4 linked regions of the Rhinolophus ferrumequinum genome follow. The protein of the gene in region 4 interacts with the protein of the main gene of each other region in a pairwise test. Links are inferred from orthologs where the notes say so. Each region holds a gene or a part of one and is shown on either strand. Other genes may lie near its edges.

What was found.
Region 1: the proteins of KPNA2 (region 4) and SERTAD3 interact in binary tests that used the Homo sapiens proteins (3 or more experiments, as listed by UniProt). The two-hybrid records come from large-scale screens. The link is inferred for Rhinolophus ferrumequinum from reciprocal best matches to the Homo sapiens genes KPNA2 and SERTAD3.
Region 2: the proteins of KPNA2 (region 4) and NECAB2 interact in binary tests that used the Homo sapiens proteins (3 or more experiments, as listed by UniProt). The two-hybrid records come from large-scale screens. The link is inferred for Rhinolophus ferrumequinum from reciprocal best matches to the Homo sapiens genes KPNA2 and NECAB2.
Region 3: the proteins of KPNA2 (region 4) and NMNAT1 interact in a two-hybrid assay, tested with the Homo sapiens proteins (3 studies listed by BioGRID and IntAct). The two-hybrid records come from large-scale screens. The link is inferred for Rhinolophus ferrumequinum from reciprocal best matches to the Homo sapiens genes KPNA2 and NMNAT1.

Annotation. Positions count from the first base shown.
Region 1 is NC_046298.1:39,118,427-39,126,376, forward strand, and holds the start of SERTAD3 (SERTA domain-containing protein 3), read right to left. Parts: upstream 3,228-7,950; 5' UTR 3,108-3,227; intron 2,717-3,107; 5' UTR 2,680-2,716; coding exon 2,644-2,679; intron 1,702-2,643; exon of another isoform or gene 1,432-1,701; intron 984-1,431; coding exon 381-983; 3' UTR 1-380. Other genes in the region: BLVRB (flavin reductase (NADPH)), read right to left, coding at 6,180-6,340.
Region 2 is NC_046298.1:29,517,999-29,525,831, forward strand, and holds the start of NECAB2 (N-terminal EF-hand calcium-binding protein 2), read left to right. Parts: upstream 1-4,590; coding exon 4,591-4,815; intron 4,816-7,372; coding exon 7,373-7,397; intron 7,398-7,511; exon of another isoform or gene 7,512-7,632; coding exon of another isoform or gene 7,633-7,663; intron 7,664-7,833. Other genes in the region: OSGIN1 (oxidative stress-induced growth inhibitor 1), read left to right, coding at 1,795-2,743. UniProt on the Homo sapiens protein: May act as a signaling scaffold protein that senses intracellular calcium.
Region 3 is NC_046292.1:6,558,930-6,566,804, forward strand, and holds the start of NMNAT1 (nicotinamide/nicotinic acid mononucleotide adenylyltransferase 1), read left to right. Parts: upstream 1-4,643; 5' UTR 4,644-4,776; intron 4,777-5,499; 5' UTR 5,500-5,611; coding exon 5,612-5,626; intron 5,627-7,875. Other genes in the region: protein LZIC, read right to left, coding at 21-156, 1,154-1,254.
Region 4 is NC_046304.1:43,076,520-43,084,458, forward strand, and holds the start of KPNA2 (importin subunit alpha-1), read right to left. Parts: upstream 3,023-7,939; 5' UTR 2,865-3,022; intron 2,123-2,864; exon of another isoform or gene 2,029-2,122; intron 1,778-2,028; 5' UTR 1,755-1,777; coding exon 1,680-1,754; intron 1,529-1,679; coding exon 1,391-1,528; intron 257-1,390; coding exon 168-256; intron 1-167.

The sequences.
Region 1 (7,950 bases), on a different chromosome or scaffold from region 4:
GGCCCAGCTTATCTTCCCTGAGGCCCCAGTGGTCACAAGGGGAGTAGGAACTGGAGGGCAAGACAGAAGAAATGCGGAAGTGGGAAATCAGACTCCCAGAAACAGGGTCTCATTAAGGCATTTGGAACAGATAAATTAATTCAGGAAGACCCACCTTCACAGAAGGCTATGGTAACCAGACACACGCACACATGCAAGACTGTTTGTGGAACCCTGAAATGGGAGGCGAGGAAGAGCCCCCACCAAAACACACAGGAGCGCGCGCGCGCGCACACACACACACACACACACACACACACACACAGGGTTGCACCCTGGGATCCAGCCCACTGAGGCTGAGATGTGAAGGGAGCATCCCCACCCCACCCCAAATCAAAGTTTTAGGATCCCAGAATGATTTCCATGATGTGATCTAGTTCATTCCACTCCCAGGACCCTGGGGCACAGAAGAGGTTGTGTGGAGGCTCCGGTGGGGCCAGTGCAGGCTCCTTCTCCACTGTGGATGTGTCAATGTCCAGAAAAAAGTCATCCAGACCAGAGTCCCCCAGGTATCGGGAGCTCAGAGCTTCTAAGAAGACTGGATCGGGCTGGGGCAGCACTTCATTCTGGGGGCCCAGGGGGGCCACTGGATTCTGAGGGGGCTCAGTCTCATCCATGGAAGTCTCTAGCTCCCTGAGAATAGAGCCGATGGTGGTCGACAGGGAGAAGTCCTCCTCACCCAGGAAGAGAGGCTCAGGGGGCAGGGCAGGTGCTGGAGCCAGACAAAGTGCGGCCTGGAGCTGCTGGAGGGTGTTGTGGATGAGGACATGCCTGCGAAGGCTGGGTGCTCGGGGGCCCAGGCTTCGCTGGACTTTGTCGAGGGAGATGCGCAGCAGGGCTTGCTGGTAGCTTCGAAGGCCTGCCGGACCCCAGTCCCACTTCTCATCTTCCTCTTCCTCCTCCAAGTCTGAGTGTTTTCTCTTCAACCCTCCTACCATGATGCCCTATGAAGAGAAGAGGGAGGGGCACGTCAGACACAGCTTGGCTAGTTCAAATCCAGAATCTCCGATATAGTTGTTGATTTTTAATGGTCTAAACCTCAGGTTTTGCATCTATAAAATGGAAATAGTATGAATCCCACAAGGCTAAGGAGAGTAAACGTATGTATGTGACTACCGTGTTTCCCCGAAAATAAGACCTACCCCGAAAATAAGCCCCCGTTAAGATCTCAGCCAGAAGGACGCATTTAGTACGTTATGACTATGTTCCAGAAGAAGACGACGTCACTGTATTTGAATAAATGTAGATTATTGTACATGAAAAATAAGACATCCTCTGATAATAAGCCCTCATGGAGCAATAATTAATGTAAGACCCGGTCTTATTTTCAGGGAAACACGGTAAGAAAACAAGACCTGACCTTAAACACAGCTGGGTTTGAATCCCACTTACTTGCCTGGGTGGCCTCAAATAGTGAATTTTCCTCCTTGAGACTCAATTCTTCATCTATAAGTTGAGGTCCCTAACCCAAGTCCTCCTGACTCTTAAAATTGTTCTTTCCACAATACTCATTTCAAATGTGACACACACAAGACAGGTGGGGAGTACACAGGCCTGGACTGGAAGCAGGAAATCTTCGGTTTTAATTCTGCCTTTCACAGTGCTCAGCTGTGTGATCTTGGAAAATGATGTGACGTTACCTCTCTGGGCCTGTTTCCTCATCTGTAAAATGGGGATTGTAAAAACTCTCACTGCATCATCAAGGAGACCCCACAGGTAATGCACAGGACCCACCACTCAGGAAATGCTTAATGAACAAGAGTTAATCGCTATTTCTTCATTTGATAGTTTTATTTATTGAGTACTTGCTATATTTGAGCAACTGGAGCCTGTTAGGGCACCTATTTGTCGAGACTCTTTCACAGAGTATATTTCTGGTCATTTCCCTCTTCTTAACTGACTGAAAGCGCTCCCAACAACGGGAGACAGGGCCTCGCATTCCCTCCGCCCGCGCGTTATGCTTCCCCCACACAAGAGCCCCACAGAAAAACTTGCTAGAACTCGATTCACGCCAAGCCCCGCCCCTCCTGACCCATCCAACCAAACCACGGATCTCTACAGGCCCCGCCCCCTCCAGGATCTTCCCTTCAGCAGCCACGCACGCCCCAATTTGGCCCAGGGGCTTGTGGGAAATGTGGGCCAATAGCCACCAGGTACCTACGTTAACTTTGAGCTTGCACTACAATCCCCAGAGAGCTCCGCAAGCCACCGGGACGAACCTCCCCCGCCCTCCCTCAGGGCATGCGCAAAGGACACCGGGGGGGGGAGTGGGGGAAGGGAACCCGGACGTCCAGCTGCCGACGCCGGCCCAGCCCCGCCCTCCGCTGCCTCTAGGGCTGTGAGTCTGAGCTCCGGGCCCGGAACACCCCTCCCCCACCCGACACTGCGGCTCTAACACTGCTTTCTCCCGGTCCTTCAGACCTCAGAAGGTCCTGGATTCTTCCCCCTAACTGCTCTTGGGTCCAGGCCCCAACACATCGCTCAAAGACTACAAATGCTCTCCGATCCACTCCGTTCGGGACAGTAGGTATCTCAATTTTGAGACCTTCCCCCGTCAACTTTCCCCTATATTCCCCCGACTTTCAAACGCCTCTAGACTTTTACCTCTGAACTCCCGCTCCGGCTCCAAGATCTGAACATGGATCTGTCCCCCAGCACCTCCTCTCCGCCACTGCCTCTGGGAAACCAAGATTCCTTGCCCCTAGTCCTCTCGCTTCTCCAAATGCCCGGGATCCTAGCCCCAACAACCTCACACCTTTTCCAGAACACTAGAGAACCGAATTCAAGCCGTCCGGAGACCCGAATTGTCCTAATGTCCAGATTCCCTGCCCTAAAAGTTCCTTCTCTGGATCTCTCAATTCTCCAAATATCCCACGGCCCAGCTTCAAACTCCCTCCACTTGAAGATCTTGCCCCAGCAACTTCGCCTCCTGTCCAGAATCTCGAACTCGGTCTCCGGTCCCCAAACCCTATCAGTCACTTTTAATCTGCGTCCCCCACTCCAGCCCAGACTCCGCCTTCACCTCCCCCAACCCAAGGCAGGTCTCAAGCCCGGCGGCCACCCCTCACCTCAGCTACAAGGTTCACAACGACTACCTCCAGGAACGTCAGCAACTCTGCGACCCTCCAGGGCTGGGTAGGGGCCTTGCTAGCCTCCCGGGGGCCTCTCCTTCTGGCCTGGGACTCACCCAGCTCCACCTCGGAGCCGAGCCGCGAGCAGCGATTGGGTGGAGTCCCGCCCGCCGCAGGGCGCGGATTGGCTGGGCGGAGCCACCAGCCTGTCTCCTGGAGACGGCTGACCCACCCCTCCCTTCCCCGGCGCCCCGACCATTTAAAGGATTCCGACTCTCCAGGGGGCGGGGCCATGTCTGTAGGGTGGAAGGTGGCGGGGACATCAAAACTGTTTCCTTTAAATCAGCTACTGTCCTCGCTCCAAGATCGTCAGCGTTACTCTCTTCGGTCCCTTTATATCAGACCCGGACACGGTCACGGAGCAAGACTGGTGGGCACGCTCCCCCCCATCCCACTTTCTGGGAGGGCGAGGCTAAAACACTCGCGGAGGCCGCGCCCTGGGGGTTCCGAGGGCGGACGCTGCCGGGCGAAGGACTACGCCACTGGAGACCAGCCAGTAGTTTGGCGCGGCGTACGTTGCTTGGGCGACCGCAGCCCGCCCCTCCACCGCCCCAGTCTTGCTCGAGGCCCCCCTCTTAATCTTCAGGACTCCTCAGCGTGTCCTCTGGTGGCAGGTCCGTTCCGCATCCTCCTGACGCTCCATCCTGCCTCTCTCAGGATGGTACCTCCGCTGCTGGAGACTCGTTCATGGCTCCCCACTACCCTGGCGACTAGAAGTGCAAACTTCTCGCTTTCACCTCAAAGCCCTTCACGGTCTGGCCTGATTCAAACTTCCCCCTTGCTCCCTACCATTCTGCCATGCCAGTTCACTTTGTTTTTCTAAAATGGCTTCAAGTGCCCTCCACCATCATGAACATAGAGATTTTATGTTTTCTTCCCTGCCATATCCCCAGTGCCTACAACTATGACAAGTACAGAGAGTACCAAAAATATTATACATTTTAAGACAGGAAAACTTTTAAAATTGTAATACTCAATATATACCAATAACAAAAGATGACTACAAGTCATGTTTGAATTTTGCAATTACAAGAGGTGCTCAAAGTGGTTACCATCAGTGTCCAGACACTTCTAATTACTGTGAACTACTGCTTGAGCAACATTGACCAAAGTGTCCACTTGTATACATTTTTTTGGCACTCCCAGTATATATACTCAAAAATGAGAACAAAAGGGAGTAAATGTACGGTAAGGGATGGAAACTAGACTTTTTTGGTGGTAAGCACACAATAGAGTACACAGATATTGAATTATAATGTTGTACACCTGAAATTTACATGTTAATAGCCAATGTTACCTCAACAAAAGCATTAATTACTGAAAAAGGTTTCTGGACCCTTAAACTTGTTTCCCCATTTTGAAACTACATTAATTCCCAGGCTGCTTCTCCTCAGGACTCAACTCAAAGGTTTCCTCCTCTTGGAAGTTTTCCCTGATACACCAGTATGGGTTGGTTCCCATAGTGTCCTATGCTACCCCATTGAGGAGCCCTGACCCCTCTGTCCATGCTTTGCCCATCCTCAACCTGGGCTGTCACTGTCTGGATTGTGGGCCCCCTGAGGACAAGTACCAAGGTTATCTGTGTCACCCACTGCTTGGTCGGCAGCATCACTTAGCACAGGGCTGGACACAAAGCAGGCAAGCAGTGAAAGCTTGTTAAATGTCCAGACAATATCGCAGAAATAAAGAGGGCACAAATAAAACAGTGCTACTGCCCTGAAAGTCTGAACCACCCCCACAACAAGTTTTCACCAAGAGGAGGGAGAGGCAGTTTTCTCCAGGCTACCCCAGACCAGTTCTCACTAATTGGAATATGTCAGCCAAACCATCCTGTTTGCCGAAGAAGTACAAGATTGGAATGGATTTTGTGGGTGGTGGGGTGTTGGGGGGGTACGTGGGGAGAAGCTGCAGGTAGGAAGAGAGGAGTGGCTCACTCAGGCCTGGGCACAGTGTCTCTGGGGAATAAAGGCAGGGGACAGTAGATTCCAGAGGGACATGATTACGAAGGGGCAATTCTTCCCCCTCCCCCTCCCAAACCTGCCCCTCCTCCAGGGTCCCTCATCTCAGGGAGGACCCACTGTAACCCAGTCCCCAGGTTATAGGCCTAGGCTGCTTCCTGAATACCAACCACCCCTCCCCCATGGACGGTCCACTTAGGTTCTGCCCCACTCTTCCCCTCCTCAAGGCTTCTGCCTGGTCCTCCCGGGCTCCCAGCCTCCATTCTTTTCCCCCTCCCATCCACCTTCACACAGCAGACAAGGGAAGCTTAAAACACAAAGCTGACTGTACCTCCTCCCAACCTCTCCCCTGCTCCAATCCTTGCATAAAACCTCACAATAAAGATTAAACTTTTTACAGTGACTGCACAATTTAGCATCCATGGAACAGCCTCTTGGCTTGACCACACCTCACCTCTGAGAAAAGTATTATTAACTATAGGGGACAGAATTTAGTTCTTCAAACAGGTCAAGTGCTCTCCAGCCTTCTGGCCTTTGCTCATGTGGTTCCTTCTGCCTGGAGTGCCATCATTCCTTAGGACCTTCTCCTGGCTCATTCTTACCAAACCAGGTTTCAGGTGGGGAATCCCCTCTTCAACAGTCTTGTTTGTTCCCTGTGCTGGGTCAGGTACCCTCTCTCGCTTCCCGCAGCCCTCTATGCTTCCTCCATCAGAGCCCTGGTCACTGTGGGTTGTCACCCTCAGGGGCAGGGTTGTCTTCCCCACTGGACTGTGAGATCTGTGAAGGCAAGGCTCATGGCTATCATGGTCACCACTGGTCCCTAGCACATGGCTGGGCGCAGAACAATAACTCAATAAACTGTTACTGAGGAAATGAATGAAGGAATACCCAGAAAATCTTACACAGAGGGCAGACAGAGACACTGAGACACCTAGACAAAGCCAGAGTTAGGTCTTCTAGAATAATTTGAAGTTCTTGGCTCAAGATTTATTGCTTCCTTCCTTTGTTCTCCATTTCCCAGCATGCTGTCCTCCTGGACAGGGGCAGATCCCTAGTCGTACTGGTGGGAAGGGTAGGTATTGTGCCCATCATACTCATCAGTGGTGAGGCAGCGCAGCATGAAGTGGCCCAGATCATGTTTGGAGATGACCCTTGAGGGCCCTCGTCCATCCAGGGTCACTGAGTAGGCTCCAGTCAGTGGCTGGTCTCCTGCTAAGTAAAGACAGAGAGGCTGGGTAAAGCAGATGTCCTTTCCCATCCCCCAACACACGATCACGCCAATGACGGTCCCAGGGGGCCTCAAGTGTGCCCAGACTGAATGGTATAAGAGCCAACGATTAATCTATACCATTTACTGCATTCATCTGACAAATCTTTATTGATGACCTATTATGTGTCAGGTGCTGGGCACCCAACAAGGGACAAAACAGACACGAATCCCTGCATGCAGACATTTGCTAGGTAAAGGCAACTAACAAGGTAAGAAAGTAAAATAGACAATATGTTAGATATAGAGAAATAAAGCAGAGAATGGACTAGAAACTATTTATTAACTCTATTTCACAAATGGGGACACTGAGTCTTGGAGAGGGCAAGTCACTTCCCAGTGGCATAGGCTAGATTTGCTCTGGGTCTCTGTCTGGATGCTTTCCTTTCTCTGGACCCTTCTGGGAAGACTGAGTGACATGTCCCAGGCATGGGCCTGCATTTTATAGGCAGTGGAAGAGCAGACGCATTTTTCTGACCTTGTGAATATGGAGCTGGTGTGTCCTGATGCCACACCTAGGTCTTTCTTAGTGGGGATGGCAGACACGCATGACCTGGCTGTTACAAGGGTATCTACTGGCTGAATTATAATAATTTAAAAACAATACCTGCCAGTGACCAAATTAACTTAGGGGACCAAATTAATTTAGGGATCAAATGCAACAAACCAGTACAGGGACAATCTGGAATCATGTGCAATAAGAAACACATCCTTACCCACGTGGTATTCCTACTAAAAATGATTAATCTGAGTCTGTGAGAAAAACCACCAAAAAAATCCAGAGTGTGGGACATTTAAAAAGACACCAGGCCTGATGAATTTTATGAGAAACATTAAAAAAAAAAAAAAGGATATGGAGGATTGTTCCAGATCAAAGATGACATGGCAACTAACTACAATGCCTGATCCTCAATTGGATCCTGATTTGGTGGGGAGAGGGAGATTGAAATAAACTTTTTGACAATTGGGGAAATTTGAATATGGCACGGACACTAAATGATATGATAGAGTTCATGTCAATTTCCTGGTGCAATAATGGTCCTGTGGCTCACATAAAACTATCTTTCTTCTTGGGAGATGCCTATCTCAATAGGAATCAAGTGTATCAATGTCTGCCACATACTCTCACATGGTTCAGTCAAAAAATACTTTGTGTGTGTGCATGTGTGTGTGTTAGATGCATGCAGAGATAGTTGGTAGCTAGATAGAGCCAGAAAGATAGAAAGTAAACAGGGCAAAATGTTACACCTACATGAAGAGTTTATTCATAAACCTTTAATTCTTTCAACTTTTCTGGAGGTTTCAAAGTTTTCACACATACACATACAGAAAAAAGAAAAACTGGGGTGGCCGGTGGCTCAGGCAGTTGGCGCGCCGTGTTCCTAATGCAGATAGGGCTGCCGTGAACAGCCAGAGCTCGGTGTGAGCTGCCGTTTGCTGCTGTGTGCCAGCAGCCTATGGCAACCGACTTCCTCAGCTGGGGGGAGCGCAAGGCTCAAAGTACCAGCATGGGCCAGGGAGCTGCACCCTACAACTAGACTGAGAAACAACTGTG
Region 2 (7,833 bases), on a different chromosome or scaffold from region 4:
CCACACTGCACACCTCTGACCATCCTGGAGAAATAGGTAAATCACCGAATAAACAAATGCCAGCCCCTGCTCATTTTGGAGCTCGAGGCTAAAGTTGCCCAGTGCTCTAGGCAGGGGATAGGCCCTGGTTCCTCTGCCCTCAGGAGCTGTGAAAGGGGCACGTCATTCCGACCCAGCAGGCACTCAGCCTCTCAGGACAACTCAGTTTCCACCTCTTCAGGAATCACTGTCTATCTCTTTTACACAAAGACTTCTGTCCCTGCACATTTGGTAGGAAAGCATCCAACACATAGTGATGCGTTACCAGACAGACAGGAAATTAAATTTCACTTGTAGACATACCCTTCCATATCCTTCTTTTAATACTCAACATTATGTCATAGCATTTCACTTGGTGATTACGCAGGGTTTGCAACCATCCTTTTACACGGCCATGTAATATGCCCCAGGGAGGGTGAGCATCTGCGTTGCAGGTCTTTGTACTTAGATGTTGGAACCAAAAATTAGACAGATGTGCGCCCTGCCCCTGAGGGGCTGCCACAGTCCCTAAGCCTCTGCCCAGGCCTGGAGCTTTCATTCTTTCCAATGCACCGTTTCTAGGAGTAACCCCATGTGTAACATCTTAGGGCAATCCTTTAAAACAATTTGTACTAAAACAGAGAAGGTGACATGAGAAACCCACAGAAATAAATTCCAGAGTTCCAGTTTCTGTAGCAGACGAATGAGTTGGGCTGGCTGGCGGATGTGATCTGAGTTCACCCTACCATTGGCCGATGGGTCGTGCTGGCGTGTCACTTAGGATTCCCTTTCAGTGAGTTCATCTCTAACAGTACGTTCACCGTTAGGGAAAGTGACTCACCTACGGTCACACAGGTAGATACAGGGAGTCACACAGCTTTCACCTGAGTCATCAGCAGCACTGGCCCACAGTCACTGCCTCGGAAAGGGTGGTGAAAATATTAATATTAATAATAATAATAATAATAATATTAATAATAAAATAGTTCCTGCTGTTACTGTGTGTGCTGGGACTGTGCTAAGTGCTTTACATGGGTTCTTTCTTATCAACTCTTTTACTGAAATATATCATACGTACAGATAAATCACATGTGTACGGGTGGATGAAATTTCTCAAAGTGAACCCATCTGCGTCCAGCCACCCAGACTCAAGAAATCCATCACGTCTCCTCAGGAGCCCCCTCAGACCCCTCCTAATCCCCACCCCCTTCTCCTCCCAAGAGGCAACCACTTTCTTGACCTCTAATTCCACAGGTCAGTTTTGCCTGTTTCTGAACATTATAAAAGGACGATCCCACCATCGTGATGTATGTTATTATTGAATCCTTCGGGGTAATAGTGGCCGGGCCCATACGGCCTGTCAGGTTCTATTCTAAGCTTCGTTTACATCATCACCTAATTCTCTCAGCAACCACACAGCATAGGTACATCACCATCGTCATCCTCATTTTGCAAGTGAGGAAACTGAGGCAGAGAGTTTCAGGAAACAGCTCACCAGTGGCAGAGTCAGGATTTGAACCCAGGCCATCGGCCTCTGGAGGCCCCACTCTCAACACCCCCTCCCCCATAAGATACCATTATCAGCTCCATTTTACAGAAGAGAAGACTTCACCTTCTGAGAAGGTTAAACCACTTGGCCAACTCTTACGGCTGCTGGGTGCACAGTCATCGTGGGCTCCAGGGCCTGACTCCAACCTGGTCACCCCCTGTCCCCCCTGATTGACCCGCCACCCCAGCCGCTATCTGACACCTGCCCTTTTTGCATCCTTCCCCCAGAGGTCTCCGAAACAGCCGGGCCACAGCTGGTGACATTGCTCACTACTACAGGGATTATGTGACCAAGAAGGGCTTGGGCCACAACTTCGTGTCCGGCGCAGTGGTCACGAATGTGGAATGGGGGACGCCCGAGCCCAGCAGCTCTGGGGCCCAGGACCCCAGGCCGCTCTTCCAGGTGAGCGGTTTCCTGACCACCGAGGACCAGTGCCAGCAGCCCTTTTCCCTGTATGCCCACAATGTGGTCCTGGCCACCGGCACATCCGACAGCCCGGCGCGGCTGGGCATCCCTGGGGAGACCCTGCCCTTCATCCACCATGAGCTGTCAGCCCTGGAGGCGGCCACAAGAGCAGGCACAGTGAGCCCGGCCTCGGACCCCGTCCTCATCATCGGCGCGGGGCTGTCAGCGGCAGACGCGGTCCTCTACGCCCGCCATTACAACATCCCCGTGATCCACGCCTTCCGCCGGACCGTGGATGACCCCGGCCTGGTCTTCAACCAGCTGCCCAAGATGCTGTACCCCGAGTACCACAAGGTCCACCAGATGATGCGGGAGCAGTCCATCCTGTCGCCCAGCCCCTACGAGGGCTACCGCAGCCTCCCTGAGCACCAGCCTGTCCTCTTCAAGGAGGACCGCCAGGCCATGTTCCAGGACCCCACAGGCCTCCAGAAGGTCTTCGGCGTCTCCCTAGTGCTAGTCCTCATCGGCTCCCACCCGGACCTCTCCTTCCTCCCGGGGGCAGGTGCTGACCTCGCCATGGACCCCAGCCAGCCACTGAGCGCCAAGAGGAACCCCATTGACGTAGACCCCTTCACCTACCAGAGCACACAGCAGGAGGATCTGTACGCAGTGGGGCCGCTGGCTGGGGACAACTTTGTGCGGTTTGTGCAGGGCGGGGCCCTAGCTGTGGCCAGCTCCCTGCTGAGGAAGGAGGCTAGGAAGCCGCCCTAGCCCTTGGCCTGGCATCCTCGTACCCAGACCCTAAAGAGAAGGGGAGATCATCACAGCCCTGCTGGACACAAGATGCCCCAGTGAGGGAAGGGAGCCTCTCCTGGCAGGAGACAGGAGTGGCCATGAGCCCATGCAACAGGCTTCTCGGATAGAGGAGTGGGAGCCAAGGCTACCCAGACTCAGACCAGTGCCCAGGCTGGGAACAGTGGCTGCAGGTCAGCAAAGGCCCAGACCTGCGATTTGGGGTGAAAGCTGCCAGTGTGAGCAGGGATGACCAGGGCCAGCTGAGCGCTGAGCCAGGAGGACTCCAGGCCCCACTCCTTCTAGAATCAGGTCCCAAATAAAATCAGTGCCTGCCTCCACTCACGTGTCTGAGGATTCTGTGCTTGGGGAGGGACCGACTGCCCAGGAGCCTGTTCTAGGAGCCAGGCAGAAGCACAGGGCCAGGTGGGAGGAGGTCCTTGGGGTGGGGCTTGGGGGACAACCGATGATGCTCCAAGTGTGGCAAATGAGAAGGCAGCTGCCGTTTCCCTGAAAATAAGACCTAGCCGGACAATCAGCTCTTATGCGTCTTTTGGAGCAAAAATTAATGTAAGATCCAGTATTATATTATTTATATTATATAAGATCCCGTCTTATAGTAAAATAAGACCGGGTCTTATATTAATTTTTGCTCCAAAAGACGCATTAGAGCTGATTGTCCGGCTAGGTCTTATTTCCCGGGAAACACGGTATGCTAGAGAAGTGAGGGGAGCGTGTGTATGAGGAATGAAGTGCTGAGGAGGCTTTCCAAGCCCCCTCCCATTCTCCCTTGCAACACGTTGTCTTAGCCCCTCATGCTCATGCTTCACCTGCCACAGGGCCTTTGCACAATCAGGTCTCTAGCCCACTTTTCCCTCCTCTCTTTAACTCTTCCCCTTTCTTCCACTCTCTCAGCATAAGAGTTACTTCCCCCAGGAAGCGTCTTCTGACACAAACCCCTCCTTAGGCACCAGGGCAAATTACCAGCTCATGGCCCAAGGTGTCATCTCTTCATAGCAGTTCGGTTTTAATGATTCATTTATTTGTGGAATCTGTATCTAGCTCTACCCATTGGGCTGTAAGCTCCAAGAGGCCAAGGACCCTGTCTGTTTTGCCCATTATTGGGACCCAGAGCCTAGCACCTAACTGCGCGCCTTAACTAATCTGTTGGAGTGTGTGGGGAAGGGGGAGTTCTGGGGCGAAGACTGGTTCTGGGCGTTGTGTAATGGGAGGGAAGGTCTGAGGGGGCGTAACGCCCGCAGGAGGGAAGGATGGGTGCCCGTGGGAATTGTGGTGGAAGCCCATCGCACGGGCACGGATCACCCGAGCTGGAGCCGGCAGAGGGAGCTCCGAGCTCGCTGGACATTGCGCTCTGGCCCCTGCGGCGGTGCCGCGGGTCAGGTGGGGTGATTTTAGGTGGGGGCAGCGGGAGACTTTCGTGGGGGAAGCCCCCAGGGACGCCCCCCGGCAGGCAGACCCTCCCACCAACCCCGTGTCTACTGGGCAGCCCCTCCCTGGCCGGGGTCTAGACCCCAAATCTGCGCCCCCGCGGGCAGCCTCCTGCTGCCGCTCTCAGCCGCGGTAGGGGGCGGGGGGGGTGCGGTGGACACGGAGCACGTGGCTCGGGGTCCGGGCGGAGCGCACCCCCCCTCCCCCGCGACCGGTCCCCCGGCGCCGGCCCGTCTCCTCCGTGGCCGCGGCCGCGGGGGCAGAGGGAGGGAGGGCGGGGCGGCGCGGGCAGCGGCGCCGGGGAGGGGTCGCGCGGGGGCGGACGGGCGGGGGTCGGCGGGCTTCCGGGCGGCGGTGGCGGTGGCGGGTGCGGCGCGATGTGCGAGCGGGCGGCGCGCCTGTGCAGGGCCGGCGCGCACAGGCTGCTCCGGGAGCCGCCGCCGCAGGGCCGGGCGCTGGGCGGGCTGCTGCGCTGGGTAGGCGCCAGAATGGGCGAGCCCCGGGCGCCGCTGGCCCCCGACGTCCCCGCCGCCCCCGCCGTGGACCCTGGCCCCTGTCCCGGCCCCGCCTCGCTGCGCGGGGGCACTGCTGTCATCCTGGACGTGAGTACGCGCCCGCCGGGACCCCAAGCCCCCTCCTCCCACGGGGAACCCCGACGCCGCCCTACCTCGTTCCCGCCGGAACCCGCGAGGACCCCACCCCACCCCGAGCAGGGGACCCCCGACGCATCCCTCTGGGCAGCTCGGAGCTGGAACCGCACCCGGCCTCTCTTAAGTCCCAGAACGCGAGCCCCAAGCCTTCCCACGTCCCGGCCAGTCTCATTCCCGGACCAAGACGACCCCCACTCCTTCCTCCACCTTCTCGGAGCCGGGATTCTGGAGACCCCTTGGCCGGCCACCGCCCCCTACTTTTGTCCTGGTCCGACCCTCATCTTGCCCCAGCCCTGCACCTACCCTTTTCCCCTCATCCCTTCCCAGGACGAGAGCCCCTGACTGCCTCCAGCCCCCTGAGCCTCTCCTTCCCAGGTCCCTGCTGAGTTGCTACTTTTCAGAGACCACCTTCCCCTTCCTCGCTAGACTCTGAACCCTTGTAGTCTCATCCCTAATCAAAGACCTATTCTCCCTGCCCCCCCCTTTGAAAGTGAAGTCCCCTCCCCACCTCTGTCTTTCCTTCTCGTTTCCAGAGTGTTGGAACCACCCCCATCCGCCCTGAGCCTGGACCCCTAGGTTCCCCTTCACCACCCCCACTCCATTCTGAGCCCCCTCTGTCCTCCATTCCCTTCCCCACCTCCACCCTCTCTACTCACCCCCTCCCTCATCCTCTCTGGAAACCAAACTGCCCACCTCTGGGAAGCCCACCTCACCCTCCCACCCACTCCCCAAATGGGAGGGAGATTTCCCTGGTGGATTGCAGGGTGTGGGGGACTCCGGTGGAGTGCTAGGCGGTGGAGGGGCTTTCTCTCCTCCCCCTGCCCCATGACAGCATGGTGGTGGGATGTGCATGTCCCAGTGTGGTGGGTGGCGAGGAGATGGGGGTGCCTAGAATGTTCATGATGGCTTTCTGGGAGGGGAGTGTGTGTGTGTGTGTGTGTGTGTGTGTGTGTGTGTGTACGTGTACAGCACATCCCTGTAAGTGTGGGGGAGCTTGGATTACCTCTCTCTCCTTCCCTTCTCTCCTGGAACCCATAGCTGGCTTTGGGCAGAGAGCAATGGGTAGAGAAGGTGGAGCTGTGCTGGGTGTGTTTCAGGTTCTGGTGCCTCCAAACACACACTCGTGCATACACAGCCCAACACACAATGGACTCTCTCTCTCAAGACCCTAGCAAGCAGAGTTCACCGCTGAAAGCCCTGGGCCCATGGGGTCTGCAGACCTAGGCCTGCCGTTGTAGGGAACCCCCATCCAGACCCCTCCTGATTCTCTCCTCTAACAGTACAGGAGGTGGGCTCCAGGTTCCTAGCGTGCCATGTGAGGGCTCTGAGCCTCCATTACCTCATCTGTGAAATGGGGTGACGAGCCGAGATGGGGACTCACAGTGCTCACGCAGACTCCTAGAGCCATACATGTGGTCACGTTATTCACAGGCCCAGAGCTCACACCTGAGGGTGGGGTGCCTAGACGGGGGCTTTGAGGAGGTCCTAGGGTGCTCTGATAACTGCTCCCCTTTCTGCCCCAGCCACAGAGGCTCCTGCCTAGTACCCCAACCCCCGGGTTCAGCTAAGGAAGGGGGTGATGTCTAAGAAGGCCTCCTGAGCTGCTGCTTTGGTTTGTCACAGCCCCTGGTGCCTGATAATGGATGCCCGCACCATTGCTTGAAGGGATGGGGTGGGGGGGTATCTGTCCTTTACCCCAGGGACAGACCAAAGGTGGGATGGTCAGAGGTGGTGGTGTCTCCCCGTCTCCTATCAGCAAGGCTTACGGAATCCCAGAATACCAGGAGGGGGAGTTATCTGGTCTCTAAGCTCAGGCTAGGGTTGGGGAGTAGGGGCAGTGGCTGTCCTTCCCCCATCCCTGCCTGGTTTTCTGAGCTCCTGGAGACCTGCTTCTTCCCATTCCCTCACCCCCTAAAAAATCGAATCCTGCCCATGGCTGGTCCAGTTGCCAAACCTCCAGATTCCCTTAGCAGACACCTCCATTCAGACTTAACCCGATCTCCCTACAGAAAACCAGGGCCCTCAAGGGGTTCTGGGAGGGGTGCAGTGGTGTAAGGCATATGGCTGTGTCCACGGGACACAAATTCGGAGTGCGTCACTGAGCGTACGACTGGGTGAAGCGCGTGAACCGATGGCTCTGGGAGCATGTGGAACCAATGATTCTGGGAGCAAGCATGTGGATGGATGTGAGCGAGTGTCCACATGCGTGTGCATGTGTCTGTCGGCATGGCTGTGGGCAGGCTGGCGGCACAGAAGGGAGAGTGGGCGGCTGTTTCCGTGAGGGTGGCTCTTTCCATGAGGGTGGCTAGGAGCGCCTCTGCCTGAAACATCCCTTCCTCACCCCTGGATCCCAGCCAGATGGGGGTCTCCTCCCTGGGAAGGAAGAAGGAGGGAGCTCTGCTTCCCAGGCCCACCTGGGGGGAGTGGGATCTCAGTATCAGGTCAGGATCTGCTGCAGGCGCCTGCTCCCTGGCCCAGGGCCGCCTTGACCGACTTCTCTTCTCTGCAGATTTTCCGTCGTGCGGACAAAAATGGTGAGTTTCCCTCCCACACTGTCCCCTGAATGAGAAGCTGGCTCTCTATCCTGAGTCTTCAGGGGAACAGATCAGGGGCAGGGACTGGACAACCTGAACCTAAAGGTTTAGAGTGCAGATCTCTGAAGTCTGAAGGCCAAATTCTGACTCTGCTCCGTGCCTCAGTTTCCCCTCTGTACAATGGGACTCCCAGAGTTCCTACCTAGTGACAATGCCATGAGGATTCAGTGAGTTGATGTCTGTGATGCCAAGATGTCTTGCCCACGGTAAGTGCTTGGTGTGCTTTAATCCTTATGCAGCTGGGCTGGACCAGCCCCGCCTCACTCGAGGCCCTTCGCAGGCCCTGGCACACTTCCTCATCATAGTCACCTGATGCAGTCAACTCCGTAGTGGCCCAGAGAGGTTAACTGACTTGCCCAGGGTAGCCCAGCTGCGA
Region 3 (7,875 bases), on a different chromosome or scaffold from region 4:
TGTAAGTAAATTAGGCTTACCAGCTGCATTCCACTTAGTTCATCTACCAAAGTCATATTTCCAGACATTATTTTCTTCAGTGAATCATTAAATTCGCTTAGTTGCTCCAGAGTTTCCTTTTTGGTTTCTTCATATTCATCTGTATCAAGTTCCTCTCTAAAGTACAATGAACATAATGTAAAAAAATATAGGGTTCCAAGTGAAAAAAGCAAGCTTAGTATTTGTACGCTAAGACTTCTGATACACTTAGGTACAAAAAATATCTTGGATGTGTTCAGATGGTAGTGGTACGGGCATTTTGCTGCATTGTGGTTACTCTGATACTTCAACATTTTTATTTCACCCAAATGAGGCACACTTAACAAACTACATAATAACTTCCTTTTAAGCAGTCTGTGAATCAATGGTATAACCTTGGGCAAGATACTTAACATAGCCAAGCCTCAGTTTCATGTATAAACTGCAGATGATAGTACCTATCCTACAGGGTTGCTATGAGCATTACATGAAATATGGAAAGTGCTTGGCATATAATAGCTACTTGATGAATAGCTGTTATTATTTTATCATTAAAGGTAGGTAAAATTTTGTACACCTTGAAATACAACAGCAATGCAGTACCTGTCATCTGAGTTAGAGGCTATTTTTATTCACCCATCAAACAGGCCATTTATTAAAAATTTACTACAAATGACTACAGCTACCATTTATCGAGCACTTACTCTGGGCCAAGGATTGCGTTGACCCCTTCATTTGTAATATGTACCAAGGTTGTTTTTTAAAAAAAGGCAATGAACAGTGTTGGTCCTTTGAGCAGGAAAGGCTGAAAACACATCAGAAGTTCTAGCAGTACCTTCTCAGCTTGATATAAGGCAGGGTTATTTTAAATACTGAAGACAAGGTAGGGGTTATAATTTCCACTTCACATGTGAGGGGGTTAATTATTTTGCCCAAGTTCACACTCACTTAGTAGTTAAATCCCAGCCTTTCTGACTCCAAAGCCTGCACTTGAGTTTATTTCTCCGACAAAGCACTGTGAAGAATACTGCAGTGGAAACCAGAATCACATAGGGGCCTGCACCCATGGAGTTTATAATCTAGCTGCAGAAAAAAAGCCATTTTACAGCATAGCAGCATACAATTGTAGTATTACCTGCATTCCTCCAGATCTTGTAATTGCTGCATTAGTCTATCCAACTGTTCTTCTAAATTCTGCTTTAATTTGCTTGTCTCTGTCTTTCCTCTGGAAGCCATTTTAATCTCTAAGTAGAACAACAAACTCACATAACAGTATATATTTGGTTATTTGAAATGATTCAACATACCAGTAAAATTTAAAATAGGCTATACTCTTTCTGAGCTACAGGTGTGGGAAAGATAGTTGCGCAAAGAAAATCTCAATTTACAGGTAGAAGTTTAAACTCATAGTAATAACACTCCACAAAAATGCCTGGCAGTCTTCTTAATTGACTTGAAAGATTAGAAGTCTTCACTATTGGTCTACCTTACTTTAAACAAATTTGATACACGAAAATACAGATTCATAAAGAAACAGATCAGGTGTGACTTTGCTTTACACAGATTTGTTATAACATTCTTTTTCATTCTTAGTAAGTATGCTCCAGGACTCTTGCTAGTCTTATGTGCATTTAACTAATGCCTCGTAGGCATGAACAACTTTTGATATGAATTTCTTCTTTGGAAATGTGCTCGTTTTTCTACTGCATTATCTCCCACTTACTGATTTCTATAACATGGAAATGACGACTTTGTAATTATGCTGTAAATACTATCTTGTCTCCTGACTTTAAATTCTATTTATGGTGTTTTTTGTGATGATAAATTATTATTTTTATTAGCCAATTCTGTCTGTCATCTTCTTTAAGTATTTTTAGTTTTGTGCCCCATTAAGGCAGGTCCGAACCATCTCAAGACTTAAAAAAACATACTATTTTGTATTTGAAAACTTTAAGCCACTGCAACTATTTTTTGTTGATGCTGTGAAGTAGGGGACTTTTCTTTCAAATTGATAGTCAATTGCCCCAACACTATTTACTAGTCAGTAATTATTTATGCCACCTTTAATGCATTCAATACAAACAGACTGAAGTCTGTTTCATTGATAATATTCTGGTCCTAAGGCTTTACCTCACTATTTTAATTATTATAGCTTTAGAGCTGGTATATACTGATAACTGATAAGAAGTTGTTTTTATTACTGTGGGTTCCCCCCCCAATAATTCTTGGTTATTCTTATGCATTTTTCTTCTCTAGATGAATTTAAGCATCAGTCTGTCAAGCTTCCTTTAAAATTCAATTGAAATTTTGACAGGGATTACATTAAAATTAGAGACTAATATGGAAAAAAATCTGTATCCTTGAAATTGAATCTTTCTATCAAGCAATAAAACCTCTCCATTTATCTGAATTTTCTTTTATAGTCTTTAAAAGGAAAAGTATTCTGTTTTTCACAAAGGCTTTGAACATTGGCTATTCTTAGCTATTTTTTTTTTTTATATTGGGGATAGTGTTTTTGTTATTACAATTTCTGATTATTGCTGGTGTAGAGAAAAGCTGACTTTGGTTATTGGTATTGTATGTATTTACCTTAACGTTTATAGCATTTAAAACAAATGTTTTTCCACTTATAAAAATTAATCAAAATGTGTTTCCTGAAAGGAAATGTAAGTCTAATATTAACTATAACCATTCATCAAAATCTAAATCCTAGGGTAACTTATTAAAGCATTTAAAATTTTCCTACACATTATCATTATCAGATGATTTGATATGAAAACGTCAATGCATAGGATTTCTTACATTCTGTTCAAAATAGAATACAATCAATGAAAATCTATTCTTCCTACCGTATCTTTTAAAATTGGCTTTAATCATCTATAATCATTAATGATATGTAAACATAAATGAGTTACATTATTGCCAAAAGTGTAACTTACTACAGCTATGTTTCAGGTATAATAGGTTCATGTATAATAGGTTAGTCAGAAGTGTAATTTATGATAGTTATGTTTCTTGTATAATTTCTCCTGGAAATACATATTTAAATTTTATTTTAAATCTGTTGAATTTTCCAGTAAAAGTTAAAGCAAACCCAAGATAAAACTGTAAGTGTCTTTTCAGGATTAATTCCTAAAGTCTAACTGCTGAACTACTTGCTGTTCCAAAACATGCCACACACTTCTCATTTTTCTCTACCTATCAAGCCCAAGTCATTCATTCTGCAGAGTCTATCTCGAGTTTCACCTTCTCCATGATTTCCTTGGTTCACCATCATCACTAGATTGTAAATTGAGAGTAGGGCTTTCTCTTTCTTTCTATGTACAGTAGCAGCATCTAGCACAAAGCTGGGCACAGAAAGTATTGGATAAATAATTGGTAAATGAATAATGAAAATTGCTTCTTCCACGCATTTCATATCTTAATCTTTGTTTAGCATTTATTTCTGCCTTGAATTATATGTGAGTTCATTATAACTCGTTGTTTGTCTTCCTCTCTAGACTGTAAACACTCTGAAAGCAGGAAACGAATCTGATTACCCTCAGCTCCCTCAGCACTTAACACTGAATAGATGTTCCACCATTGGATGAAGTATATAAAGGCACAACATATTTTATGGAGGTAAAGCTTTCCTAAATAAATTTCAGATGGAGGCACTTTAAAAGCCTTCACCTGATGCTACATTGAGATTCATCCCTGAAAGATTAACTCGCTGGCACCACCTAGTATTCAATAAAGGTGGTGCATCTTTTACCGAAACAGCAGACATGGTTCTTAAAAACTGTCATCTGGAGTGCAAGGTGCTCATTCAGGCTCACCTGTCTCTTAGTCGTCCTCTGAACTCTGCACAGTGTTGACCAGTCTCAAATTGCATAAACCCCCAATTCTTGAAATCCCAAGTGTCATAAACTTGAGGAAAGCGAAACTGTTCATCCGAACTACAGGAACCTCAAAGTTCAAACCACCTGGGCGTGGCGTTGGCTGGAAAAAGAAAAACCATTAACGAGCAGTTGTATTTACTATATATAATCTTGGCTTAAAGCGGTCCGGATAACTTCCACTCGAGCAGCGTACAATTGAAACACACCCCTCTCTTTCCAGGAAGACATCAAGGGGGCAGGTGGGGAAGGAGGGAGAGAAACCCGTTTTCTTTGTCGATTGCGCCTCTGGCAGCCTTTCTGACATTTTTCTTACAAAGGCGAAAGTGTAACTGAGGGAAACCCCGCACCTGTAACGCCTCGAGGGAAGTTATCACCATCCAGAAGCACAGAAAAGATAAGGGCGGAGAGCACACCTTTTCCCGTCTGGAAGAGAGCAGCGTTTGGACCTCAACCATCAGGAAGCCCTCACGGAGCAGCTCTGACCACGGCCCCAAACCCCATCTTCACGGGAGAAATTTGAAGCTCCCGCATTTGGGTCTTGAAGCGGCCGGGCTCGACTAGGCCCCGGGTGCCACCAGACGTCGCCGTAAACCCGCCGCCCCCCAAACTTTCCGGGTCCTCCCGGACCAGGACCTAGACAACTTCCTCAGAATCTCGGGGTTCTCTCTCACCCTCTGTCCACCAGTCCCCAGAGTTCGGAGCCAGGGGCCCCGCCTACCTGAGGGTCCAGAGCTGGCGGACGCAATAATGTGGTGCATTTCCGCCGAAAGTAGGCACTTCCGGTCTCCTGGAGCCAATGAGGGTGAGGCTGCGGGTGTTCCCCTCGCTGGCTTTCGGGCTGCGTGTAGTCTTCGATCCAGTTGACCCTGAGAAAGGGGTAAGTCTCCCTACCCCGACTCCCCGAGTCTGTAGGGTAGTCAGTCTACCACCCCTTTTGGTCGCAAGCAGAAGGGAGGCCGAGATGATGGGTCTTTGAAAGTCAAATACAGCGGCCCCCGAGTCAAGGTCATATTCGAGTTTGGGGCGAGAAGGCTTGCCCCTTTATTCTTTCGATCTCTTCGTGGAACCCAAAACCTCGGTAATTTTGCCTCTGGGCTTCGGAAGAGGTGACTTTAGTAAAAAAAAATAAATAAAAAAAAAATTTTTTTTCGTCTCTAGAACAGGCTTCTTGAGCTTGGCAGAGCTGGTGGGAGGCGGAAGAGGAAGTCCTCCATTCTGAACTTTTTCCTCCGAAATTACTCTTTCCAAATCTATAAAATATTAAACCCACCTGCTTGGAAGCGGTTTGACACGCACACCCTTTGAGAAGGAGACTACTAGCCGTTGGGCAGCGCTTTTTAAAAAGTTACTTTGAAATTGGGTGGAAACCGTTTTCTGGTGTTCCCAGCCCATTTTCTTGAAGAGTCAGTAGTCCACAAGACAACATTAGGGTTTAAAACAAAATTGTTTGAAGTGTTTCCTTTAAAACTAATTCTTTTTCAAGGGCCCAGAACAAACTTCCAACTACCATTACTGTAGAACTCTGCCAGAATGAATTATTTCTGTCAGTTCTGTATAATTGTAAAATTCCTTACTTATGGCCATAAATTGTTTTTCACAGTTACAATTTGGATGTGAAGCCACTGTTTCTAGCCCCATTTAGAAAAGACTGTTGACTTACAGGTTGGAATAGTTCCAGGAGCCTACCCTGCGAAACACTCCAGAGTCACAGGATGCCCTTTGTAAAAGTAAGTGACGGTTATGTTAATGTGATTACCTCTAATTTTGATATGTGAATGTGTGTGGAAGTGTCAGCATTTTTAGTAACATGGAACTCTCAATGACAGATAGTTGGGGTCAGTGCCAAGCAAAACAAAACTGGGAAATATACTTTCTTCTTTCACCATTTGAAGAACTTGATGAATAAACATTTGCTCACTGTGCACTTCCCTTAATTTAGAGGATGATAATACAGTGTTCTATTCAGGCATTTGTTGGTTTTAGTGTGGGCAGCCTTGAAGCTGTGGAGGAAGGGCCTCACCATACATGCATTTTATGTCCTTGCTCTTCTTCCTCAGTGACTTAATCTGAACCGACGGTCCTGTGCTGACTGTGTTGTTGTTTTTTTAAACTTTTATTTATTTAAGTGTGTTTTTCCGGGACCCATCAGCTCCAAGTCAAGTAGTTGTTTCAATCGGGTTGAGGGCGCAGCTCACAGTGGCCCGTGTGGGGATCAAACCGGCCACCTTGTTGTTAAGAGCACCGCGCTCTAACCAACTGAGCTAACTGGCTGCCCCGCTGAGGGTATTTTTATATGCCTGTGGGTTCTCGTTTAGAGTTAATGGAGAATGAACAAGTGTCCTTAGTGCATAAGTAAGAGAAATTGGTTTGAGTTCCAGTTCTCAAGCAAATATAGACTCCAAACCTTGGGGTGTGGGGAAGGGAGAAAAGAGAAGAATTTGGAAAAAGGAATGATGTGTAAGGTAGGTAGTCCTGGGAGAGAGCACTGGGGAAAATAACCTCAGAACTGGGAGTCATCACTGAGAAACCAGATACGGGAATACTTTGGAAATACCACAGAGATGAACCTTGAGTGGCGAACAAGAAGTACCATGAGCCAAAGGGTCTCTGAACAGGTGGATCCCTTGTAAATGTCTACTGGAAGATAGCATTGTAAGTCTTGAGTGATGGCTAAGCATGAACTTTTAGAGTCAAGGTTGTTCCACGAGCTGTGAGAGCTTGAACAAGTTAATCATCCTCTTTGAGCTTCAGTTTCCTCATCTATTAAAAAAAGGGATAATAATAGTACCTACCTCATTGGAGTGTTGTAAGGATTACATGAGTGTTTAGCACATTGCTTGGCAGAATTCAGTGAATATCACTTATTATTATCATTATAGATAAAAAGGCATAAATGGATATATGTGTACATATTTATAGGGAATAGGCCCATCCAAAGAGAATGAGTGAATAAAACGAGGATTCCATAAGTGGGAACGCTGAAGCTTTCCGCCCCTCTGCTGTCAATTTCCCAACCCTAGGCAACCACTGATCAGCTTTCTGTCATTACAGATTGCATTATCTGTTCTAGAATTTCATACAACTGGAACGATACAGTGTGTACTTTTCTGTATTTTGCTTTCACTCAAAATAATGTCTGAGATTCGTTCATGTTATTTGTATCCGTAGTTTGTTCCTTTTTATTGCTCAATGATATTCCATTACAAGGCTATTTGAACTTTGCTTATTCATTCATTCATCTCTTGATTAACATTTGAGTTGTTTCCAGTTTTTGGCTACTGTGTATAAAGTCAAACCATGCAATTCTTTCAGTGGACATGTGTTTTCATATCCCCATTATTTTTAAGTTATCCTCTTAATTTGTACCTAGAATCCTTTCTTTATGGCTTCCTTAAGGACTTTCCTCCATCAATTATTCACATTCTTGCAGCTTCTGCGGCTTCCTAATGGTGCTGTCCTCTCAATCTCCCAACATTCTAATTCTAGTCTTCAAAAAAATCAAATCAAATAAATAACCTTCACTTAACTGTGATATCCCATTGAAGCCAGGGTTCAGTATCTCTGGGTTTTACTGTCAGGTTCTAGTCTATTTCTGTTTGCCTACTAGATCTCTCTACTTAAATATCCTGTGTGTGCCTTAAATTCAACACGTGTAAAACAGTAGTCTGTCTTTTTATGCCTTGCCTCCCCACCTCCCAACCTGTGCTTCCCGGTGCTGTCTTTGTTGGCGCACCATTTACCCAGTCACTGAAGTCAGAAATGTCCTCCCCGCTCCTCCTCCCCACCTCCTCCATTCAGTCACTTGATCCCTTGGCATCATTCCTCCTGTTATTACCCTTTATTATCTCTCGCCTGGACTGATAGAGTGCTCCAAAGTAGTGCTCTGCAAACTTTAGGGTGCATGCAGATCACCTGGGGATCTTGTTAAGATGCAGATTTTGATTTGGTAGGTGTAGGGTAAGGCCTGTGATTCTGC
Region 4 (7,939 bases):
TGGGATTTTAGGCATGACAGAAAATTTTAGTTTCACCAAAGGAAGATTCTAACGAACACAGGACTATGGCTGGCTTAACCATTACCCACACCATCTATCTCTTTCCAACCAAAAAATCTAAAAAGGCTCAGTTCTTAGGTTACCCATGTATAACAGACAAGACTTACCTAGCAGCTTGAGTAGCTTGGAGCTGGCTTTCCAAATTGTTGCTATTTATGCCTTTGACAATATCCTCAACAGACCAATTTACAGTGCCCTACAAAAACAATGGAATTATCCTTTGTAAGATTAAATACAAACAATAAAATTCCTATTTGCCATTGTGAAGACATTTTAAGGTTTATAATGAATTACTAAATGTGTATTAGCCCTATATTTAACTTTGCCTGTTAATTAAATATTATTTTATATGTTGAACAGTTCTCAAACTTGGTGTCATGACTTACTGGAGTCTCAAGTTACAGAGTATCCCAGCATTTTGTCACTAAAAAAGGTGACTGTGAACAATTTAAAAAATTACAGCAGTCTGAAGGTTATTCCGACATTAATCTCAATCACTTGTATTCAGATACGCTTTTAGGGAACAAGGGATGGAGTTATAAATAATGTGCTGGGGATTTTCTTATCTAACCTTGTAATCGACACATTCCCAAGTATAGCGCAGCAAAGATGTTTTATGTTGTGATCACAGTAGAAAGGTTTGAGAAACAATGCTATAGTTAACTTGAGAAGATGGGATTTAAGTAGAATACTCTAGAAATAGCACATAAGTAGTATTCAATTTTGAATGATAGAATGGGGAGCACTAAAAGAAAGCATAATGTAAAACAATTAAGTGCCCAATTATCTTTGAAAGACGAGATAACTTTGAAAATCTAAGCTGGATCAAATTTACAAAAACAGCCTTCGAAAATAGCGATTTAAAACCATCAAAGTTGTTAAGCTAAGAAAGAATATGTCTAAAGCAGTATTTTAGGAAAATTTTTAGGTAGATAGTATGTGGCATAGAATGAAAAGGAAAATAAATTAGAAGAATACTAACAGTATTTCAAGAAGAAAAAGACATGAACAAAACTGGTGACAAGTACAAACAATAGAGAATAACAAAAGGTAGAAATAATCCAGAAAGCAATTGGTTCCCGACACACTTTCAGTGGTATTGGAATGGCCAGGTCAAGGTACCGAGCTGGCAGCTGTAAACGCAGGGAAACTTGAAGATCAAAACTACAGAAGACCTTGGAATCAGCTTCAACAGATTATGAAGATGGGTAGGAAAGAAAACCCATCAGAATTACTGATTCAGAGCAAAAAGGAAACCTTCACAGATTTTATAGGTAGAACCATAAAGGTAGGAATATTTTCAAACAATTATAAGCTAAAACATATTTACCTGGTTGTTGCGATTTTCCTGCAGTGGAGAAGTAGCATCATCAGGAAACGAGCTCACATTTCTCCTTTTCAGCATCTGGTCATCTTTCTTAGCTTTCCTCAGCTCTACATTAACTTCTATTCGGCGCCGCCTCATTTCCTTGGGAAAAGATAACATACCACTTCACCTAACATTTCAGTTTTTGTTAGAAAGTGAGGGCATTTTTTCCAAATTCCCTCAGAGTTTTGACCCCTTCCCAAATAATTTTCCATTCAAAAAATACTATACAAAAGTAACAGAAAGTACTCACTGTACTGTCTTTTCCCTTGTTCTTGAATCTGTTAAGCCGGGCAGCTGGTGAATTAGCATTCTCGTTGGTGGACATCGTTATGAGACAAAGGGAGAAAGCTATAAGATGGGGAGAGAAAAAAAATGTCCCTTTTATCATTTTGCTTTGTCAGTAAGAAAAGCATTAATAGGTATTTCACACTTTTTTCATACTAATTCTCCAAAATCTTTTGTGTACTTTAACCTTACAGCATTCAAAATTCGGATTAGCCACAAGCCTTTCCTAATATACTGGACAGTGTGGCTCTAGACTCCACTATATAGAGTCTGTAAATAGTTAATTGAAGACAAAGTAGGCGAACTGAGCTTACGGTCAATATCTATGTCCTAGGCGCAAATACATTCAGATTCTCTGGAGGCTCTCTCTATTGTCTTTAAATGGCCAAAATAGGCACATTCTCCACACTTGAAAAATAAAAGAAAAATTTGGTTCATTATTATTACATTATGGAGTCTCCCGTAACATTTCTTGTCAACACTGAAAATTTGCGACACAATTCTGAATCTCGATTACATTTTCATTTCCAGGAATTTCGAGTAAATGCACTTAATTAGGCTGACATTATTCAGACTAAGATACTTATGAGCAATCTCCAAAAGGTAACAAAAGTAAAAGAGCGCCTTACAATTTATCTTTATTCCCTTATGTTCGTTTACGAAATTGACACAGCCAACCCAAGGCCTACGTGTTGAGATAGTTTCTCCAACTGCCACCTCCATCTCTATTCCCTTCCCCTGCCCCCCACCCCGGGGAAGATACAGCCGGTAACCGCCACAGGAGGGGCCAGAGGTACTGGGCGCACTCCGGGACTTTGGGAATACCAGCACGATCGCTAACCAACTGAGCTAATCGGCCGCCCCCTCCCGGGACTTTGACCCTCCGGCCTCACTCTTGTTTTCCGAGCCCCGATGCGCAAAGGATCTTGATGAAACTCGCCGAGTTTCGGCGGCCTAAAGCCCAAGCACTTACTCACTTCGCGGAACAGCCCTTTCGTCAACAAACGACGCCCCAGAGGCTTAGTCAACCAAGGAGGCCAAAGCCAGGCCGGGCGTGTACCCGGAGCCTCGCCTCCCGCCACCCGTAAGCAGAACGCGGCCTGCAGGTCAGCCGTTACCGCTCGGGCCGGGCTGGGACCTGAGTTCGTACCTACACAGCCGGCTCAGGCTTCCACAGGAGACGGCGCAGGGGAGCACAGGCTGCGGGTCCGCTACTCGGCAACGAACACCACGGATCAGCCAGACGACAGTGTGGCTCGAGCAGCCGGCCGGCGCGATTTAAATTTCCCGGTGGCCCCGCATTCTGATTGGCTGGTTCGAGTCTATGATGTGCGTCCATTGGTGGATTTAAAAAACACGTTGCAGCGGGGGTCGTACGGCCTAGCCGTAAAGAGGATAGCATCGCGAGATGAGGGAGCGGCCGGGCGATCCCAGAGCGCCTAGCAGTTTGGAGTGGAAAGACTTCAAATCCCGGCATGCAGCACGAAGGACGGGTTCTCAGCCCAGCCTTGGCCTGAGACTGTGGCCTTTGAAAGGATTTGTGCTTTTGAAGTTCTTGGTCGTTTCCCTGATTAACCAAGTACTACAAATGATTCCCAAAATCATGTCCTTCACAAATGTTTACATAGAAACATATTGCTATGCATATTTTCCCTGATAGGACAGAAGAAACTTGGCAGTGGTTTCTGGCCGTTATGGAGTTACGAAGTAGAGGCATATGGCACATTTGCGTGGCTTAAAAATTTTTTTAAAAAAACTTGCGTCATAAAAGACTGCATAGAAACCACAAATATGGTAACGAAAGGTTTATTATGCCTGTTTCTCTAGACACTTTTATTTTTAAATAATTTCAAATACAGAATTGCAAATCTTTACACAGATTTGCCAAATGTTAACATTTTTGCCACATTTGCTATTTGCTGCTGCTGCTGTGTGTGTGTGTGTGTGTGTGTGTGTATCCGTGTTCAAGTTTTGCCAACCGTTCCAGTAATGTTCTATGCTGTATTTTACACATTTCTGAATAAAATGTTTGTATTTTTGCCACGTATATTTTTTAAAGTATCAATGATGGTTATTAGAGCACCGGGATTATGGGCCATTTTGCTCTCTTTATGCAAGTTTTCTGTATTCTAAAAAGGGTATTTTTAGAAAAGTTATATTGCGATTTTTTTTTTTTTTACTATAAATTCAAACATTGAACTTTGTTCATTCTTGTAGGCATTTGTGCCAGCCTCACTCATTGTGTAGCAGCAATGGGATTCATAGGAGGTTGATTTTACTCCCACCTACTCAATCAGCAGAATCCCATCCCTCTAAATGCAAAAATATGAAAGGAATTCACTCCTAAACCAGTCACCCCAGGGTATTCTCTTGACTACTGTGAATGGTTCAGGGGCAGGCATGTGACCTAAATTCATCCAGTTTGGAAGGCTATGCCTTTTGTTTAATGATTGGAGGTGGGAAAGCAGGTGCTGTTTGCTGTTCGGAGCTGAAGGATATAAGTCCTAGAAATTTGACTAGGACAGTTGTAGAGAAACCAGGAAAGCTCTGATCAACAGCCTGCCCTACCTCTGAAGGCTGCAATTATGACTTTGCAATTACGTCATCCAATACACTTCTTTTGTTGTTTCAGCTAAATTGAGTTTTCTTTTGTTTGCAAATATTAAGTACTATATGCCCAGACATATTCTAAGTGTTTTATATATATTAATACATTTAATCCTCACAATTCTGTAAGCTGGTATTATCACCTGTTCCATTTTACAGAAGACTGAATCATAAGTGGTTAAGTAACTTGTCCAAGTTTACACAGCCAATAAAGGCAGAGACAGGACTCAGACCCAGGCTGTCTGGTTCCAGGATCCATGCTCTCAACCACTATTCTGCACTTGTAGCTGAAAACAACCTACAACAGAAATACAGAGTCAAAAGTGAAAGTTGCCTTTGAAATGTACAATGTTGCCCTGGGGAACCATACATCCTCCACTATTAACCACTGTAGTTTGGAGATTCAGGCCTAGGCCAATCAGTATATTCTATACACCACCCCCGCCCCTCACAGCCACACACAGGGATTGGTTTGGTGATGAAGCCTTAACACAGTGACACTGCAATAAAATGTTTACTGAGGCCTTTAAGAGTGACATAACCTCTCTCTGGCACAGGACTGTGCTGTGATCCTGTGCTGTGATGATGTGACACTGAGAATGCAGCTGCTCTGGAGAAGCAAACCCAAATGTGACCAAGTCAGAATTTTTTGTTTTTGTTTTTGTTTTAAGGAGGGCGCAGCTCACAGTGGTCCATGCAGGGATCCAACCCACAACCTCGGTGTTATCAGCACCCCGCTCTAACCAACTGAGCCAACTGGCCACCCCTAAATCTGAATAATCTTAGTTTGTCTCAGTCATTCTTTCAAGTAAACACTGTGTTCCAGTGAAAAAGTAGCTAGTATAGCCTGCAACTCAAACACTGCACCAATGTTTTCCTCCAGAGACCACTGTATTTTGGTATGCAGAAATGATTATGCATATTTCCCATTTGTCACACAAAATATTTACAGCATGTACTCAAGAGTCAAGACGTAATTCAACTGATGATTCTTATACATAGTCCAGGACATTCTTACGTGAAGCTGGTTCCCCCCACCCTGCCATTCCCAGTGCAGGAAGGTGAAAATACCACTGTTACCTGTTTGGTGCCACTGCCTAGATTCACTAAAGTGTCAGTTTTACCTACCATTGCTTCTGCACCATCAGAGCTAAATGATTCATGAATTATTATTTACTAATAATATCTCAGTTTTCATGAAAAACATTTCCAGGGTGACTCGATGACTCGTGGTCCACAGGTTAACAAAACAGTGATATGACACATAGACACCTAAGATTTAAAAGATACACACCAAAATGTTAATAGTGCTTAACTCTGAATGGTAGAATTGTGGTCAGTTTTCTTCATTTGGTTTACCTATATATTACACAGTTTTAATGAACAGGTATTACGTGTCTAAAAAGAAAGTGAAATTTTTTATTTTTAAAACCCCAAATACAGCATCTTTACATGCAACAAGCATAGAGATATTGTGCATGGAACCAGAAAGTCTCCACATCTATCCAAGACCAAGCTTTAGGATGTAAAAGAAACCCATATATTTTTTGTATTATATGTAGGAAACTTGTTATATCCATTTTCCCTTTAATCTGGAGGGAAGGAGGAGATGGGGAGGAAAATAGATGTAGATGAGTGGGGTAAGAAGGGCAGATTTAAAGAAAAGGCTGTTCACCCTGGAATCCCCCAACAGTCCACAGTACGTAATAGGTTATCAAATTAATGAACGTGGAATACGTGCGGGCAAGAAAGAGAGGGAAGTGGCTGTAAGGGATGGGAAGGTTGGGGGACGGGGTTGCGGGAGGACCTTACGCTCTGCTAGTGGTTCTTAAGGCCGGTGGCAGAAGAAGGTCCATGGGAGCTTCGTAAAATGCAGACACCCGGGCTCGCCCAGGTAAAAAGAAATACAACGGGGGGAGTACAGTCATTGGAATTTTGTTTGAAGTTCCCCAGAAACGCCTAATATGCAACGAGAGCAGAGAACCTTCCAAGAACCCAGCAGGCAGGCACAACGCCGCCCGCGTGCGGGCCACGCAGTCCCGGGAAGAGGGGCAGGGGAGCCACGCGCACGCGCGCCGGGGTGGGCCTGCTGTCTGGGTCAAGGATGTATGAAGGCGCAGGCGCGCGCTGCCGCCGCTGGGGGGGTGGCTCCCAAAATACTCACCGCCCGATGCGAGGCTGCGGAGCGCAAGGGCGGGGCGCGATGATGGCATCGCGTAAGGAGACGGTGCGAGAACCCGGATCCTGTGGTGACCCAGTGGCCTAATGGATAAGGCATCAGCCTCCGGAGCTGGGGATTGTGGGTTCGAGTCCCATCTGGGTCGCACGGAGTTTTGTTTTGGTGGAGAGGGAGACGATGATGGGCAGTGAAACAGTAAAGGTAGATTCTGAAATGTGGTTATTTCACGTCTCTAGCGAGCTCGAGAACCATTGTATTTACAGTTAGGAAATGCATCTCCGCGTTTTAAAAACACTACAGTTGGAACTTTGCAAGAGAAAGAGCTAAGATCTGACTCCAAAGAGGAGCATTTTTCTTGCTTAACTTTTACTGACTTTCAAAAGAAAAAAGCCGACCAGACATATTTCTGTCTTCCGTTTCGTACTGTTTCACCATGGCAGCCACACATGGAAAACTTTCTCCCCATTTTTATCCCAAGGGGTGTGTGAGCAGATCCCACTGTGCTGGCTTCAAACATTTTTTTTCCAGTACTAGAGAGAGTTTATAGAAAAGCAGCTGTGCTGTTACAACACACAAATATAATAAATATAATTTATGATTTCTGTCCCTAAACTAGTATGAACAACAAATTGTAGTTAGAGAACGTAAAGTTTTTGGGTGTGTGGGCGTTTCATTTGCAAATTAGTGTAATAAAGAAATACAATCAGTTTAAGCTTTTCAGACTGGTTCAGTTGACTATCTTGAAAAGTTTTAAACTCTTGCAAAACTTGTACAAGAGACATATCATTGAGTTACTTCCTACTCTTTAAAAACTACTAAATACTAAATGCAATGTAGTATCCTGGATTTGAGGCTAAAACAGAAAAAGGACGTTAGTGGAAACGCTAGTGGAATCAGAGTACAGTCTGGAGTTGAGTTACTGCTAATGTACCGATGTTGATTTCTTAGTGGTGACAAATGTCATGGCAATGGAAGATGTTAACATTAAAGGCAACGGGAAGAAGGATACACAGGAGCCCTCTGCTCGATCGATGAAACTTTTTTATGAAGCTGAAATTATTCCAAAATTAAAAAATTATTTTAAAAAAAGAACAACTAAGCAACCAATGGAGAAATTTAACTAATACCTTCACCCCGCCCCTTTTTAAGATTAGGAATGGAGTGCTGAAATTTTAAAACCAGATGCATTAACAAATGAAGACTGGGGGTTAATTTCCAGCTCCATTCCTGGTATCTCAGAGTTAGTGGACACTTTTGGTCTTTGCATGCAGTAGGTGTTCAAAACATCTGCACTGAATTGTCTCCTGTGTCCTCGCTAGGCAGCATCTGGAGACAATGGACAGTGACAATGTTTCCCTGGTCCCCAAAGGCACACGATTCTTCAGCGTTCTCTGCCTTAGGGCTTCTGACTGGCCTACCCAGGCCTCCCGCAGGCTCAC